4 linked regions of the Arabidopsis thaliana genome follow. The protein of the gene in region 4 binds, or shares a complex with, the protein of the main gene of each other region. Each region holds a gene or a part of one and is shown on either strand. Other genes may lie near its edges.

Region 1 (4,451 bases), on a different chromosome or scaffold from region 4:
CTGTAGTAGCTGCTAGTGATTGTCCTGAAACGTTCTTGGCCTGCTGTGTCCCACTGTATACACAGGCGATTACCAAAACAAGAGTAACTATCTGCTCTTTCCAAAATTTTAACAGATTATGATTGCATATCTAGCTGAAGAACACTTACGATCTGGAGTTTGATGGTCTTTCCGTCCTGCTCAACTGTGCGAATTTTCTGCATGATATCATTAGTAAAGGTTAACACTTATTATTCTGATTCCTGTATATAAATGAGTGATGAGCAAATGAAGGTGCTTACAAAGTCAACACCAATGGTGCTTATGTAGCTATCCAGGTAAGAATCATCCTGTCCACATAAAATTCAAGATATCAGGAAATAAGAACACAAAGGAGTAACAATGATACCATAGTGAGAACTAAGCTAATCCAATGGAGTAATGACTTTTGAGTTTTGAGTCTTGAGCAACAGGTATTGAACTCCAAGATGTGATCCTCAAATTTTTGTGTGTACACAATGTTAAAAAGTAACTACCAGAGATGATGAATCCAGAATTGTGGGAATACTTACAGCAAATCTTAGAAGCAAGCATGATTTTCCAACACCAGAATCACCAATAAGCAGAAGCTTGAACAGATAGTCACTGCAACAACAGAACGGTAAACACCAATCTCAGTGAAGCTCATAAACTCATGAAAATTCGGGTCAGGAAATAAAAACGCAAGAACATCTATATACAATATGCTAATGAGATCAAAGGGAAAATTGTGTCACACTCGCGAATTTCAACTACAACAGTAAACAGAAATTGCAGATCTCGATCAAATTTCCTCGGATCTGACCTGTATAAGATCCATGGAACGAAAATCCAAATCTATACAAAATTCTAATACAAAATACCTTAAACGAGCAAAATTAGGTAGATTCAATTCACAAACCTAACAACCAACAAAGATCCAAAGCAAAATCGAACAAAAACCAAATCACCAAACACATCAAAAAATAAAAAACGCGGATCGATCCGAAACAATAGATACATGAAACAACGAGAAGACAAGTTTCTTACTATTCAGGATTCATTATCCCTCAACGAGAATCTGACGATTAAAGGAATCTCCGGCAGTCAATTCAGCGATCGTCGTCGGCCAAAAAAACGAGAGAGACGTGAATGTTCTTTTTTTTTTCTTCTATGTGGCTTTGGCTTATTAAGTGCTCTTTTTGTCAATGACACGGTTAAGAAAAAAGAAAAAAAGGGACCCACTCTTTTCGACATTTAAATGCGTTTTGGTTTTGATGTTTGAATGCTGACGTGGCCGAGCCAACTCAGAGAGATGCGTGGAGGACAAAAGAATCAATCAATCTTTTTTCTTCTTCTTTGTCGATTTTTGTTCTTTTCTTTTTTGATTCTATACAATCGGAGAATAACTATCTTTAGGAGATTAAAATTTCGTATCCAATTAATGTAACTTTTTATATGTATGCTAATATTACGTACTGTTGTCAAGCTTTTAATTAAACCACCTGTAAGAGAATATATATTCGTTTCACAAAGAAAGAAGATGGAATATTTTGATTATTATCTTTTTGGTATTCTGATTAAACTAACATATAATAGCTTTTCATCGCTTGCGGTGTAAGTCAATGTAACGTGAACATGTAGACGACTTGAATATACAACATAGTCACATAGAATAATATTTCAACTCCAGCAGAAATTTATTCGTCAATCATAACTTTTAAAAGGCCCAAAGTAGATTATTTAGAGCTATCAATTTAAGGACACATAAACATACATTTGTTTGTAACAGAAACTCTTTATTTAAACCATTTTTGGTTCTACATTAGTGTACTTGGACAAGCCTTGGTTCGTGGTGGTAGACTGGTAGAACCAGCTTTGGTAATGGGTTTCTTGTTATATCAATTGAATATGGGCCTAAATGTCTAGGCCCATAAAATTAGTAAATGGCCCATAAATTGAAATACACGGAGCGGATAAGCGATAAGGCTCTTCTTTACTCTGGTTTCGAGTTTGGGTTGTGCAAACATGGCGACGAGCTCTCATCTTCTTCCTCAGGTTCTTCTTCTTCACTCTCTCACGCTCAATCACATTTTCATACTTATGCTTCTTTGAATTCTGTATTTATCTACCATTTATGGAACCAGGCATTGCATATGATACCGAGAACCCCTTCTTTCTCGTCGAAGAATTTAGGGGTTTCTTCAATTCTACCACGAGCATCATCAGTGAACTCAAGACTATCAGTTTCTAGGGTTTTTCTCAATCATTCGAGCTCCAATTTTGGTTTCGCCATCGATTCCAAGAAGAGAAAAGAGTTTATCGCTAAAGCTGAAGAGAGTACTGAAGGTGAAACTGAGGCTGTTGTGGAGAATGCTGTTGAAACTGAAGCGGAAGGAGAAGGAGAAGCCACTGTTGCGGCGGAGGAAGCTAAACCTCCGTGGAAGACGAGAGTCAAGCTCGGAGATATCATGGGGGTTAGTTCATTATCCAATGTGATTCTATGAGATTGTCTAGTGTTTTGTTTTGGCTCTGAATCTGATTATACATGTCTGATACTGTAGTTGTTTTGGCTCCTGTTCTTAAATCATCAGTTATCTTTTAGGCATTGGAGAAATGAAATGTTGATTTGCTTTTTGTTTCTGTAGCTACTGAACAAGAAAGCTATTGAGGTTGCAGAGACTGTAAGACCGGTTCCTGGACTTAGGACTGGGGATATTGTAGAAATCAAACTGGTAAAACTCATTGTCCCCGTATAATCTTATGCAATTTATGCATTTAACTGCAAGATTTTGATACGACATGGTGGGTTTGATTTTACAGGAAGTTCCTGAGAACAAACGTAGGCTATCTATCTACAAAGGTATTGTGATGTCTAGACAAAATGCAGGCATCCACACTACTATCCGTATCCGGAGGATTATTGCAGGCATTGGTGTTGAAATCGTCTTTCCCATGTAAGTTTATTCTTCCTTAACTATCCTATTATCACACACTTACTCGGGTATATTGATAAGTATAAATGTAAATAGTATTAGATAGTCAGAGTTAAGGGTCTTTGACCTTGTTAAGGAGTCTTTTGGCTTTGAGAGAGATTTTAGGAACTCTAAAACAAACCGGAATTAGCTTCTTTTATCGTGAACAGTCATAGTCTTCGCTTCTTGAGAACTTAAGAGATTTACAATTCTATATCTGATCATATGTATTAGCTTTCTTCACGAAAAAAGGAAATAATTGCTACTCCAAGTATGATACTATAGGAACTAGTACATAAATGCTGGAAGTCTTAGCATTATAGGTCACCAAGCTTTGTGCTTATTTACTACAGAAACGCGCACCAACCTTTAATCTTAATCACTCTAGAGTCTAGCCGTTATCATAACATACTAGTCCCTATGAACTTTCCAGTACTATTGGCTGATTCTACAATGAAGTAATATGTAACTGATATGTTTTGATCTTGAACAGATACTAATCTACACAATCAAGTAATATGTTTTGATCTTGGTTTAGAATATGTATCTGATGTGATGTGTGTTTTGAATTTAACAGATACTCTCCCAACATAAAGGAGATAAAAGTGGTAAGTCACAGGAAAGTGAGAAGAGCAAGACTTTACTATCTGAGGGACAAACTTCCTCGTCTCTCAACTTTTAAATGATCACCAAACCCAACACCAGTCTTGTCTTGTGTTGTCTTCAATCTCCAAAGGTAGCTAGCTACTCTCTTTTCTCTTGTAATAATTGTTTGTTTGTTTCGTCTTTTGGATTTCATTTCTTTTCATGTAATTTACAGTAACAGTAATTTAAGAAAAGTAAATCAATGTTGATTGTTTTGATCTTGAGTATGTAGAATCTGGACCCTTTAGTATTCTTTTTCAGAAATATGACTGATTTAATCATTAAAATAAAACTTTTGAATCATTGAAATTGCTTTTCAAAATAGATTTTTTACATGTAAAATCATGTAATTCATTCATGTAAATGAATTTTCCAGCTAAAGCAGGAAAAAAGAAACGAATGATTGAGTATTTTTCTTGTCTCTTTCCTCTGTATGATGACTTTTATGTCCGATAATTAATTACTTGCTAACAATCAATCATTAATGGACACGGAGAAATAAATTTAAAATATCATCAATCGTGAGAGACGAAAAATGGCCTACCACCCTGAAAGCTCATTATAGCCTTTTTAGCCACTATATAAAATCAAACACCAATCAATATCTGCCACGTCATCATCCTCTTTTTTCCAGCCTGTCGCTTTTAACCTTTGTTTTTTCGTCTCTTACAATGCACAACTGTTTTCACACGTGTCACATTTTTCCCTCTCTTCTCTCTCTTTCGCTCTTTCTTCTTCCCCGCAGTTCCCGGAGACGACGCCGGAGGAAAATCGTACGGAAACTTTGCTTCGACTTCACGTGGCCGCTCCACGAAGCGCCTTTGGGTTTCGTCT
Region 2 (3,211 bases), on a different chromosome or scaffold from region 4:
CGTTTTTCTATATTACTCCTGAAAAGTATGAAAACATAGTCAGAAAGTATTATCCAGCGGAGATGGGGCCAGTAACAAATATCGACCCCATTGGCAACTCTCCTGTTATCATAAGCAAGGTGAGATTATCTGTGCTATACTGTTTGTATATGTGTTATTTGACTTGGGCCCCAAAGATTTTCAGAGGCGTTTAGCTAGATGTGATGTTGGTGTCCAGGAATATGTTCTGTTTGTTCTGTTCATGCATTAAAATTGATGTTGACATGCATTTACTTTCTGATGCAGGAATCACTTGAAAAGATTGCTCCTACATGGATGAATGTCTCGCTGACAATGAAAAACGATCCAGAAACTGATAAGGCATTTGGATGGGTGCTGGAAATGTTAGCACAAGAAACAAGAATCTTAAATCATGAATTGGCTCTCCACCTTTTGAATCCCATCATTGTTAACTGACTACTTTATTCTTCTCTTTTCTGTTTGATAAGGTACGGTTACGCAATTGCATCTGCTATACATGGGGTGCGTCACATACTTCGGAAGGATTTCATGCTTCAGGTAAGAATCGACCTTGTGCTGATACCTTAGTGATAACATATTCTATGTCGAAGATACTTTTGTTTTGTCAAAGTTACAAAAGTTGTTTCTCTGCTCCATATTCCTAAGTTCTCTCACAATATCTTTCAGCCTCCGTGGGATTTGTCTACCAAGGGGAAGTTTATCATTCATTACACTTATGGATGCGACTACAACATGAAGGTGATTTTCTGTTTGACACGATTGTTTAATTTTAATTTTTGGCTGATAAATTAGGAACAGATTTCACATCTTGTGGTCATTTGTTTTTACTTAAGGTCATTAGGTTCTCTTTTTAGTCACTACTAAGTTTTGCTGACTGTTAAATACAGGGGGAGCTGACATATGGCAAAATAGGAGAGTGGCGATTCGATAAGAGATCACATTTGCGGGGTCCTCCTCCAAGGAACATGTCCTTGCCGCCTCCCGGTGTTCCCGAAAGTGTGGTATGTTATATATAAACCTCTATAATCTGATCGTGCTTAAAACAAGATACTGCAGTAAGGTCCATTCATAGCTCAAAGGGGAACTTATTTGTATCATGTCCATTGGTTTAGTGGATTCCGGAGACTAAATAGCAACGTCATACACAAATGGTCGTCCATAGTTTGATGTAGTTTGTGAATTTGCAATGGTTTTACTTTCCGGGGAGATGATATGCATAAGTCTGTTAGAAGTAGTTGTAATATCTTCAGGAGTTACGGTTTTGCTTGTGGTCAATCAAGTGTGAGAGTGAGAACCGTAATATTGAATGACTGTCCTTAATAACATATTGTGTGATGGTGCAGGTGACACTTGTGAAGATGGTGAATGAAGCTACTGCGACTATCCCTAATTGGGACACTCTCTAACTCACATCCACACACAAAACACAAACCATAGGGACAAATCCATACAGCAACAATATTTTGCCTAATTTTTTTTTCCTTCTCCCTTTACTTCCCTTCTTGTCTGTTTTTTCTTGTAATGGTTAAATTATGAACTTGAGTAGTAAATTACAAAATTATTTGTTTGACACGAGACGAGACATCTTCCATAATTCCGAGAAAGAAAATAGAATTATTTTGGGTCTAGTTATTTGATTAGTTTACCAATGGATTGCGTTCAGAATTCAGAAGCAGAGACTAAAAGACACAATGCGTTAAATTAGACGGAGTTACTAATTCCGTCTATTAACCCTTTTTTTATCCATAAATTTTATTTTCCATTTAAGAAAAATAAAAAAATAAAATTGCTTAGTGGAGGATTGTGTTGTTGTTCATCTATCTTCTTCCTCCACACAGCTAGAAACAGTCTCCTCATCTTCTGAGCAAAAAAATGGAAGTGGCTCTTCTCTCCTTCTCTTCTTCCTTGTCTCCTCTCTGTCACCAGCGAATCTCAACTCTCACACCCAAAACCTCGAATTCCCCAAATTACCCTCGCCTCCCGGTCATCAGATCCGCGGTGTCTCGTAACAAGAAGGAAGAGACTGTCGAAGCCGTCAAGTCTCACTTGGAGAACTGCCATCTCCTCGCCGCCATCAACTACAAAGGCCTCACCGTCAAGCAGTTTCAAGACCTCCGGAGAACTCTCCCCGACACTACAAAGCTCATCGTCGCCAAGAACACTTTGGTCTTCAAAGCCATTGAAGGCACCAAATGGGAAGCTCTCAAGCCTTGTATGAAAGGCATGAACGCTTGGCTTTTCGTCCAGACCGATGAAATCCCTTCTGCTATCAAACCCTACCGGAGCTTCCAGAAGGAACGCAAGCTTGAAAACAATGACTTTGCCGGCGCTGTCTTCGAAGGTAAGTTCTACGCTCCTGACAATTTCAAAGTCCTCGAGACCATGCCCACTCGTGCTGAGGTCTACGCTAAGATGCTCGGTGCTCTGCAATCTCCGGCTATTAATCTCGTCACTACTTTACAAGCACCAGCAAGAGAGGTTATAATGGTGCTTATGGCTTACATTAAGAAGTTGGAAGATGAGAGTAATGCATAGTTAAGCTTGTACTAATCTTTTGGAGAATGTAATGTACGCAACAAAAGGCAATTCAATTTTTTGTTTATGACTCTCTCAAGCACCAATTGTTATTACAGTGACTGAGTTTTATTGAAATGTTGTTTTTCGGAGTGCTCTCAAGCTATCATAACGGTCTTGTTTAGATGTACTTAGAGAGGATAGATTCAACAACTCCCTGAGCTATGGGGTGATAAGTTTCTCGAGCTTCTGCAAACACCTGTTTTGCCAGCTGCTTCTCTTCTGTTCCACCAGATTGTGCAAGAGCAGTGAAGAGTGGACGCAGGTACTTCATCCTTCCTACCTCTTTTAGTGTTTTCTTCACTTCCCCATGGTACTCTCTGCACTTGGATGTGACTGCAAGTTGCAGAAACGAGACCTTCACTTCATAGTCTTTCGATTCTGCCAGTCTGTACCGCTTGTCCAAGGCCATGACCTGATTCATCAATGAGCAAAGTGGGTGTTAGCCATAGGTTTGAACCTGATCACCAATCCTTCCTTTGTTGACTAGCATTGTCATTAACAAACAAGATAAGATCCTAACTCTTGCAAAGCCAATACACTTTCCACAATCATGAACTCTCCCAAAGCCAAGAGGGTTTTTCCACAATCATTATTCACTAGCCCCACATTAATC
Region 3 (4,081 bases), about 18 Mb from region 4:
ATCGCGGTGCGGGTGGTTCTCTATACGGCGGAGCTGATCCGTATAGATCTAGGTATATTTCTAATATTATCAGTTTCTCCTTTTCTGAAATCGATTCTGGATAGAGAAAACGGGTCCTAGATTTGGTGAATTCTGCGTAAAGTACAAGTATTTATCTTTGGTGTGTGATTTGTAGAGAAGGGCTAAGCACTAGAAATGCTTCAGGTTCAGAGGAAATTCAGCTGAGGATTGATCCTATGCACTCTGACCTGGATGATGAGATTCTAGGTCTCCATGGCCAAGTCAGGCAATTGAAAAATGTAAGAAACCCTCTAAATCCCATTTCGATCTTTCTACTTTTTATCTATAGTGCCATTTGTATTGTCTTCTTGTGGTTCTGAAGGATCATTGTTCTCTTTAAGCTTTAAGTTGATCATATGAATTTGGAAATTTGTCTTCTTTTCGGTTTTGACAGTGGTTAGAGCTTGGTTAATTAGTTGTGTAGGTGTTTTTTTGTTCAGGGTACTATGATAATGTTATTGTTCACAATACTTATCAGTCAGTCCACGATTAATTAGTTGAATCCACTTGTCTGATGTCTTTTGTATACATCTGTGGTTATTGTTTTATATCACCACCCTTCTTGAAGGAATCAGTCGACATTCTCTACAATTCCTTGTGTTTTACCTTGCACTTTTGCGCATTATTTATCCCTCATGATTTTTTGTTATATCGTTGATCGCTTATTTTGATGCAGATTGCTCAAGAAATTGGGTCAGAAGCAAAGTCTCAGAGGGACTTCTTAGATGAACTGGTATGTTGTTGATGTCCCTTTAGTTTTTTCTTTATCCATCATAGTAAATTGCAATGTAAGCACTTAACATCAGTAACATGCATTCATTTACTCTTCTTTACCTTTAAGATGAATCACTGATTATATATAGTATATCCGAATATCGGTTTCCTATAACTTGTTTCAGATGTCTCTGTTCATTATTAGTTGGGAAAATATAGTTTCATCCTAACATATGTTAGATAACTTTAACCGTAGCTTACAAAACCAATGAATCTTGATAAATCCAAAGTGTAGATTATGTTTACTTAGGATCTGGTCTGAACGCTGGTGGTGGGTAGGATTAGATATCTTCAATCTCACCTAGTTTGGTGAAATGCAGCAGGAAATGGTTACAGCTTATCATTGAGTTCCTGCCACTTTGTCAATGAGAATGTTGGTGTTGAATGTGTTCATTGCTTTTAGTTCGTTCTAGTTTTTTCTTTTGTTACCTAGAAGAACATCCTAGAGAAGATAATGACAAACAACTAGATTTGGTAGTGAGACTGCAGAAACAAGCATTTAGTGCTGTTATAAGCAAAATAAAATAAGTAGACGAAATGTTGTTCTTGTCTGAAACATAAAACGCTTCAATGGTATTTTGTTTTTGTTTGTGACAGCAAATGACATTGATCAGAGCGCAAGCAGGGGTGAAGAACAACATAAGGAAACTGAACCTAAGCATAATCCGTAGTGGTAACAACCACATAATGCACGTAGTTCTTTTCGCGCTCCTCCTCTTCTTTATCCTCTACATGTGGTCCAAGATGTTCAAAAGATAGATAGAGAGACTCATGGCATACTTGTGTTACCCCCCAAAAAAAAACCCTTGATGAATGTTGGATAAGTTGTAGAAAATATCCTCTAGATTACAAACATTTTGTGGTTCTTCTCGTTACCTGTTATATAGAGTGCCTGTTTTTAACAGTTTACATGAAGCAAAATTGTATCACAGAACAACAGCATGAGATATTTTAGACCAGTTCAAATCTGGCCTTAACTTGATTAATTACCCGTCCGGTCCAATTCAGTATTGGGCTTTTATAGTCTTATGGGCTGAAGTGTCGTGATACGTGTATTATTATGGTTGGTTCTTATGCGTAAGTTTATGGTGGTATCGTCCGTAGACGATAGAGGTTCCACACTATGTAAAGGAGACCGGAGAAACAAAGGAACTGGGTTTGGAGATAAGAAGTGGGAACTTGAATGGCTTCCTTATCCACTTCCGTTGTAGCTTCGGCTTCGTCGCGTTTATGGAATCCTGCTGCCTCCAACGGCAAGATTTGCGTTCCTTCTGCTTCGCTTTCTCTGCGTACGGGTTGTAGACGGAGTTCGTCCTCTCTCACTTCTTCCGCTTCTTCGCAATTGCTTCATTGCTCGTTTCTCTCGTCGCCTGTTTCCCTAGCGTCTCCATTTTCTGGTACATCTTAAATTGGTTCGAATTATTGTTTGTGTTTAGCTTCTGGTGATGTAATGTATCAAGTTCTTTTACCCAATTTTGATTTTTTTTTCTGGTTCTTTGGGTTTGGTTGATTTATCACTATTCTCGTGTGTTAGGCTCTAGCTTACTTTGCAAACACATATATTCGAAGCTTTTTTAGAAGAATTTGGGAATTGTGAAACATAGTTGTCAATGGTGAATTCGATTTGGGAGTGTGAGTGAAAGAAGCCATTTTGTTTGTTTCTGATATTTCTTGTTAAGTTTATAACAACAAGTGAAGATAACATTTTGCAACTTAAGCCTCAATTTCTGATATCTTAGCTCATGTATTTGTAGCCGCAAGTAAATGTTGTTTGATTTTTAGTACAAAAATCTTTTAGCTCATGTCGATTATTTAGGTACAATGGTTATAGATTTGCTTCAATATGTCACATGAACTTGTTCCTCCTCCTTTGATCATAATTTTCTTGTAAAGTATATTGTACGACCATTGTAGCTAGGCTAAGATTTGAGCAGTGAATTATAAGCTTTGCCAATTTAGCAACAGACGTTATGGTTATAGCTCAAGAGTTAAAAGGGTAACCTAGGAGAATGCATTAAAGTCATTTTGGATTTGTCTGGGTCTTGATTCTGAGCAGTGTGTTGAGAGTTTGGTATTGTATGGTGAGTTCTTTGGGTAATTAAAGGAAGGAGTTTACCGGTTCCAATATTATCAGCTTGATACACTATCAAACCTATAATGTCACATTGATCAAAATGGTGTTGCTGTCTTTTCAGGTTTGTCCATTGCGTTTGATCTCAGCAGTCAAACTAGTGGACTGAATGGCCAGAGACGCAGAGGCCTTGTGGTTAGAGCTGGAAAAGCTGCTCTGTGTCAAACTAAGAGAAGCAGATCAAGAAAATCTCTAGCTAGGACTCATGGTTTCCGTAGAAGGATGAGGACCACTAGCGGTAGAGCAACCATAAAGCGTCGACGTGCCAAGGGACGTTGGAACCTCTGTCCCAAGTCCAACCCTAGCAGCGGCAAACGGGCTTGAAGTTTGTTTCTCTCTTCACTCTATCTGTAATCTTGTTTCATGTGCTTTTTTTCCACCAGAAGATACAATGAGAAACATGGTTCGTTGAGCTCTTTTCTGCGTTTTAACTCTCTTGCATCCTTGATTCGTTTATAAATCAATGTTCTTGGAATTCATCACATGTACTACTATACTACTTGCTTCATTGAATTTGTTACTACTCGAAGTCTCAACTTCAAAGCCATAATTACTTAAAGATCTCTTCTGGCCACCAGGATAATTCTGGTGTGTAAGAATTGTTCAGATTCCAAGTAGTGTTAATGGTTGCTGAAAGTTGATGTATATAGTTTGGGGTTCAATCCCTGAAGGATTTTACTTTCATTTACTAGTTTTATTTCAACCTAACAATTACTTTTAAGTACTAACCCTAAATTATATTCCCCTTAAAAAGAAAACTGCACCAAAAACAAACTAGTTAAGAAAAATGAAACCAAAACTAAAAAAGAAAAGTTCCTTCTTATTGGAAATTAGGGAGGGATCAGATTGTGTAAAAAAGAGAGCGCCCAATAGTCGTAACAGGCTTTGGGCGGAACGCTCTTCTCGCAATATAAGCGAGTTTTTACCATTCATCATATCCCCTTTAACTTGCCTGAAGGATCATGCCTTTTACGTAATTAGCTCTTTCTTTTTTATAGGCATGTTACTACCATCACTATCTCTACCTAAACGATGTGGGACAAAATAAACTATTCTCTTGTTTGAAATAAGGTTTCTTATCTCAAATTCATATATCTTTGTTTTTTAAAGTGGGTC
Region 4 (3,320 bases):
TGTTGATTGAAGCTTGCAAAGGCATTCGGAGGTCCAGATGAACTATGTCGAGGAAAAATGGAAACCGAGAGTTAGTTTGAAGGCAACACAAACTTTTTGGGATATGAAAATTGGAGAAATCCCACAAAAGTTGATACCTGAGTCCACCCGCATTGGTATTGGAGAATGCAGTTTGTTGATTAAAGCCAGAGAATGCTGGAGAAGGGGAATTGATCTGACTGGACTGAGGGAAGATACTAGGAGTGGTTGCAGCAAACGGGCTTTGATTGGCGGTAACAGAGCCTTTGTATGGATTCCGTAGAAAGTTTTCAAACTCGGCTATTTTGGAATTTTGCAGATTCCTCTCCCTTTCAACCTATATAATGCACCATAATAAGCCAGGAAAAGAGGAAATCAACTTATGTCTTATCAGTATGAAATGAAAACCAGTGTAAAGTATAACAAACACAAGAAAGGTTAATCTCACAATCGACTGTAGAGGTATTCCTCGTTTAGCTTCTTCATATGCCACTGCACGTAGTTCTTCATAGCTGATATCACCGGTAACATCACATGGAAAACTAGAAGAAAAAAAAGATAGAAAAAATCAGACACGTTTATAAAGAATGGATAAAGATCAAGGATGCTAAACCAAATGAAGTAATACATACTATTTCCAGTGGCCGTAGCATGTGAGCTTCCACATGGGTCTCTCATTCTTAAAATCGTCTTGCATTACCCGCTTACACGCAGCAGGATCTGTGCATCTTTGTATAGTAACCAAGAGAGAAACAGTAAATTTCCAAAGAAACAAACGGCTAAAAGGATGATAATTGATAGAACAAGCATATGTAAACATATATACACTCACTTATGATCTGCCGGCTGCGTCTGTTTACCAGTCTGCTGTGTAGAAGCAGCAGCACCACCACCAGTAGGTGTAGAAGCCGTTCGTGACCAAGTATTCTGATTTGCAAAAGCATCATCATGTCACCATTCATTCAACAGGCAAAATGCTTTCGTTTCTTAAAGAAGATGCACCATTTTTCTCATCCAAAGCCGAACGATAACTTGCATTCTATCAAAGCAATACTTGCATCTTAAAAGAGGAAAAAAACAAATTGACCTGGAACTGATTCGGTCTGCTGGAACCACCACTTTGTACACCAAATCCAAAAGGGTTCGAACTATTTTGTTGCTGCTGCTGCTGTTGTTGTTGTTGGTTTTGTGTACCAAAGCCAAAGGGATTATTTGGCTTAGCTTGTTGTGGATGAAGAAATCTACAGTTTTCCCCATACCTACAACTGCAAAAACAGCACAAAGGACGATGAGTCCAATAATTACGTCTCTAAGCTTCTACTATCACTAATCATAACTTCCGAAGCAAATCAACCCTCATTAATGGCGGAAACGAAGATTAGAATCTATCAAAGTCAATAAACTGTATGATTCATTTAGATTTCAGCTCAATAGACATCGTTTTCTAACACATTACCACCTTCGCACATCGATTGATTTCAAATTAAACCCCAGAATATAGAACACGAAACCTAAACTTCAGCAATCGAAACAAACTTCAAAAACTCTTATAAAACAACAAATTGAATCAAAACAAAAACTAGAACAGATGAAGAAGAAGATGATGATGATGAAAAGAGTATTTACCTGCCACGCTGAAAGTTTCTACACAGTTCCTTCCTCATACTCGCAGCTAAAACCTTCGAACTGTGTACGTATGTGCGTATATATATATGTAGTTTTGCTTCTCTCGAGAAAAATGAAGAAGCGTTAGATTGACGAAGAGTGTATCAACAGAACAAAAGGAAGTCTCTATGTAAATTACCATATTACCCTTACATATCTTCAAAGTATTTAGGGTTATAAACGTAACTCCAATACACTTCATCATCCTCATTCTCTTATCCATCAATCGTTACTTCGTTTCTTCTCTATCACCAGGAAAAAAGAAGAAGATAGCTCCTGAAGACAAAAATGGCGGTTTCTCTCCCGAACTCGTTTCTTCAGATTAGCCCATGTGTTCCTTCTCTGCAATTAAGAAAGGTAAGCTCGAAATCGATTTCTCATTCTTCGTCTATTTCTCCTCCTTCCCCAAAATCACTAAATTTGTTTGTGTTTTTTTTTCAAAATTAGCCGGTGATGGCGGCAGTGAAAGGAGGAAAACAATCGGTGAGAAGAAGCAGCAATACGGTGGTTCAGATAACGTGTCGTAAGAAGGAATTGCATCCTGAATTCCACGAAGACGCAAAGGTTTACTGCAATGGAGAGCTGGTGATGACTACAGGAGGAACAAAGAAAGAGTATGTGGTTGATGTATGGTCAGGTAACCATCCGTTTTACCTCGGGAATCGTTCGGCTTTGATGGTTGATGCTGATCAAGTTGAGAAGTTTCGTAAGAGGTTCGCTGGGCTTTCTGAGATTATGGAGATTCCTGTGCTTAAAGGAGAAATCATTATGCCTACTAAGAAAAGTAAAGGTCCCAAAGGGAAGAAGAAATGATGAGTCTTTTCTGGTAAAGCTTATGTCTTTGAATTTGTTGTCTTTTCAATTGAAGTCGAGATACTGCTTAGGCTGTTAAAAATTGTATGTGAATTTTCTTCTGAATGCTATTGGTTATGCTTTCTTTAAGATCTATTTGGTTTCATTGAGAGTGAGACTAGGATCTCAGAGCAATGATACAAGTAGTAGCGAATCTCAAGGACAAATCTTTAGCTTGTGAGTTTGGCATGAATTTGTGATGGATAATAGATAGATATACACTGGTGAGAGAAACATAGCAACAATGCCTATGAAATGGTAATTGCAAATGAAAGAAAGGTTGTGGCTTTTGCCACATTTTGTGATAATCTTGGAAAGTTATGGCATGAGATTAATGACTAGTGTAGGTAGTTGTTGTTGATGTGTAAGTGGTGTGTTGATTAGTTGATTGAGATCATTTTTACATAGATTTATAAGATGTTGAACATGATGATCATGGTCTATGTAAGTGTCTGCTGAAGTTATCAGGCAAAACATTTGTCTTCTGACGACGAAGTGGCGTACTAATAGTGAGCAGATTCTTGAACTGTGGCCATGGCGTAGGAGTATGTTTTGCTTGAGAACATAAAAGAAAATTTTTGGCACTTGAAGTTGAAGATTCTGTGATCATGCCCAATTGTATACTACTACTGAATTTGTGTGACCAATATTGAACAGAAACAGAATACTCCAGCTCAATCAGAGGTTTTACCAATATCAAGCCAAACCAATATCAGGCCGTCTCAAGCCCATTTGAAGACAGTCGAATGTGTGGGCTATTTTAGGCCCATTTCCTCTCAGCTGGA

What was found.
Region 1: emb2184 (region 4) and AT5G47190 share a complex: the UniProt entries of both Arabidopsis thaliana proteins name them as parts of the 50S ribosomal subunit.
Region 2: emb2184 (region 4) and EMB3136 share a complex: the UniProt entries of both Arabidopsis thaliana proteins name them as parts of the 50S ribosomal subunit.
Region 3: emb2184 (region 4) and AT1G29070 share a complex: the UniProt entries of both Arabidopsis thaliana proteins name them as parts of the 50S ribosomal subunit.

What each region holds. Positions count from the first base shown.
Region 1 is NC_003076.8:19,163,639-19,168,089, reverse strand, and holds AT5G47190 (Ribosomal protein L19 family protein), read left to right. Parts: upstream 1-1,954; 5' UTR 1,955-2,025; coding exon 2,026-2,055; intron 2,056-2,144; coding exon 2,145-2,474; intron 2,475-2,645; coding exon 2,646-2,732; intron 2,733-2,820; coding exon 2,821-2,954; intron 2,955-3,549; coding exon 3,550-3,658; 3' UTR 3,659-3,906; downstream 3,907-4,451. Other genes in the region: RAB1A (RAB GTPase homolog 1A), read right to left, coding at 1-53, 150-197, 282-329, 552-624, 1,048-1,061. UniProt on the Arabidopsis thaliana protein: Located at the 30S-50S ribosomal subunit interface and binds directly to 23S ribosomal RNA.
Region 2 is NC_003076.8:4,339,401-4,342,611, forward strand, and holds EMB3136 (Ribosomal protein L10 family protein), read left to right. Parts: upstream 1-1,861; 5' UTR 1,862-1,893; coding exon 1,894-2,556; 3' UTR 2,557-2,695; downstream 2,696-3,211. Other genes in the region: AT5G13500 (Hyp O-arabinosyltransferase-like protein), read left to right, coding at 1-119, 286-383, 489-558, 688-759, 909-1,022, 1,365-1,427; AT5G13520 (peptidase M1 family protein), read right to left, coding at 2,717-3,010. UniProt on the Arabidopsis thaliana protein: This protein binds directly to 23S ribosomal RNA.
Region 3 is NC_003070.9:10,147,867-10,151,947, forward strand, and holds AT1G29070 (Ribosomal protein L34), read left to right. Parts: upstream 1-1,924; 5' UTR 1,925-2,017; coding exon 2,018-2,231; intron 2,232-3,029; coding exon 3,030-3,289; 3' UTR 3,290-3,541; downstream 3,542-4,081. Other genes in the region: AT1G29060 (Target SNARE coiled-coil domain protein), read left to right, coding at 1-52, 176-299, 737-793, 1,432-1,593. UniProt on the Arabidopsis thaliana protein: This protein binds directly to 23S ribosomal RNA.
Region 4 is NC_003070.9:28,270,192-28,273,511, forward strand, and holds emb2184 (Ribosomal protein L31), read left to right. Parts: upstream 1-1,879; 5' UTR 1,880-1,971; coding exon 1,972-2,040; intron 2,041-2,130; coding exon 2,131-2,496; 3' UTR 2,497-2,818; downstream 2,819-3,320. Other genes in the region: AT1G75340 (Zinc finger C-x8-C-x5-C-x3-H type family protein), read right to left, coding at 1-42, 138-355, 467-560, 651-746, 851-945, 1,106-1,283, 1,645-1,682. UniProt on the Arabidopsis thaliana protein: Binds the 23S rRNA.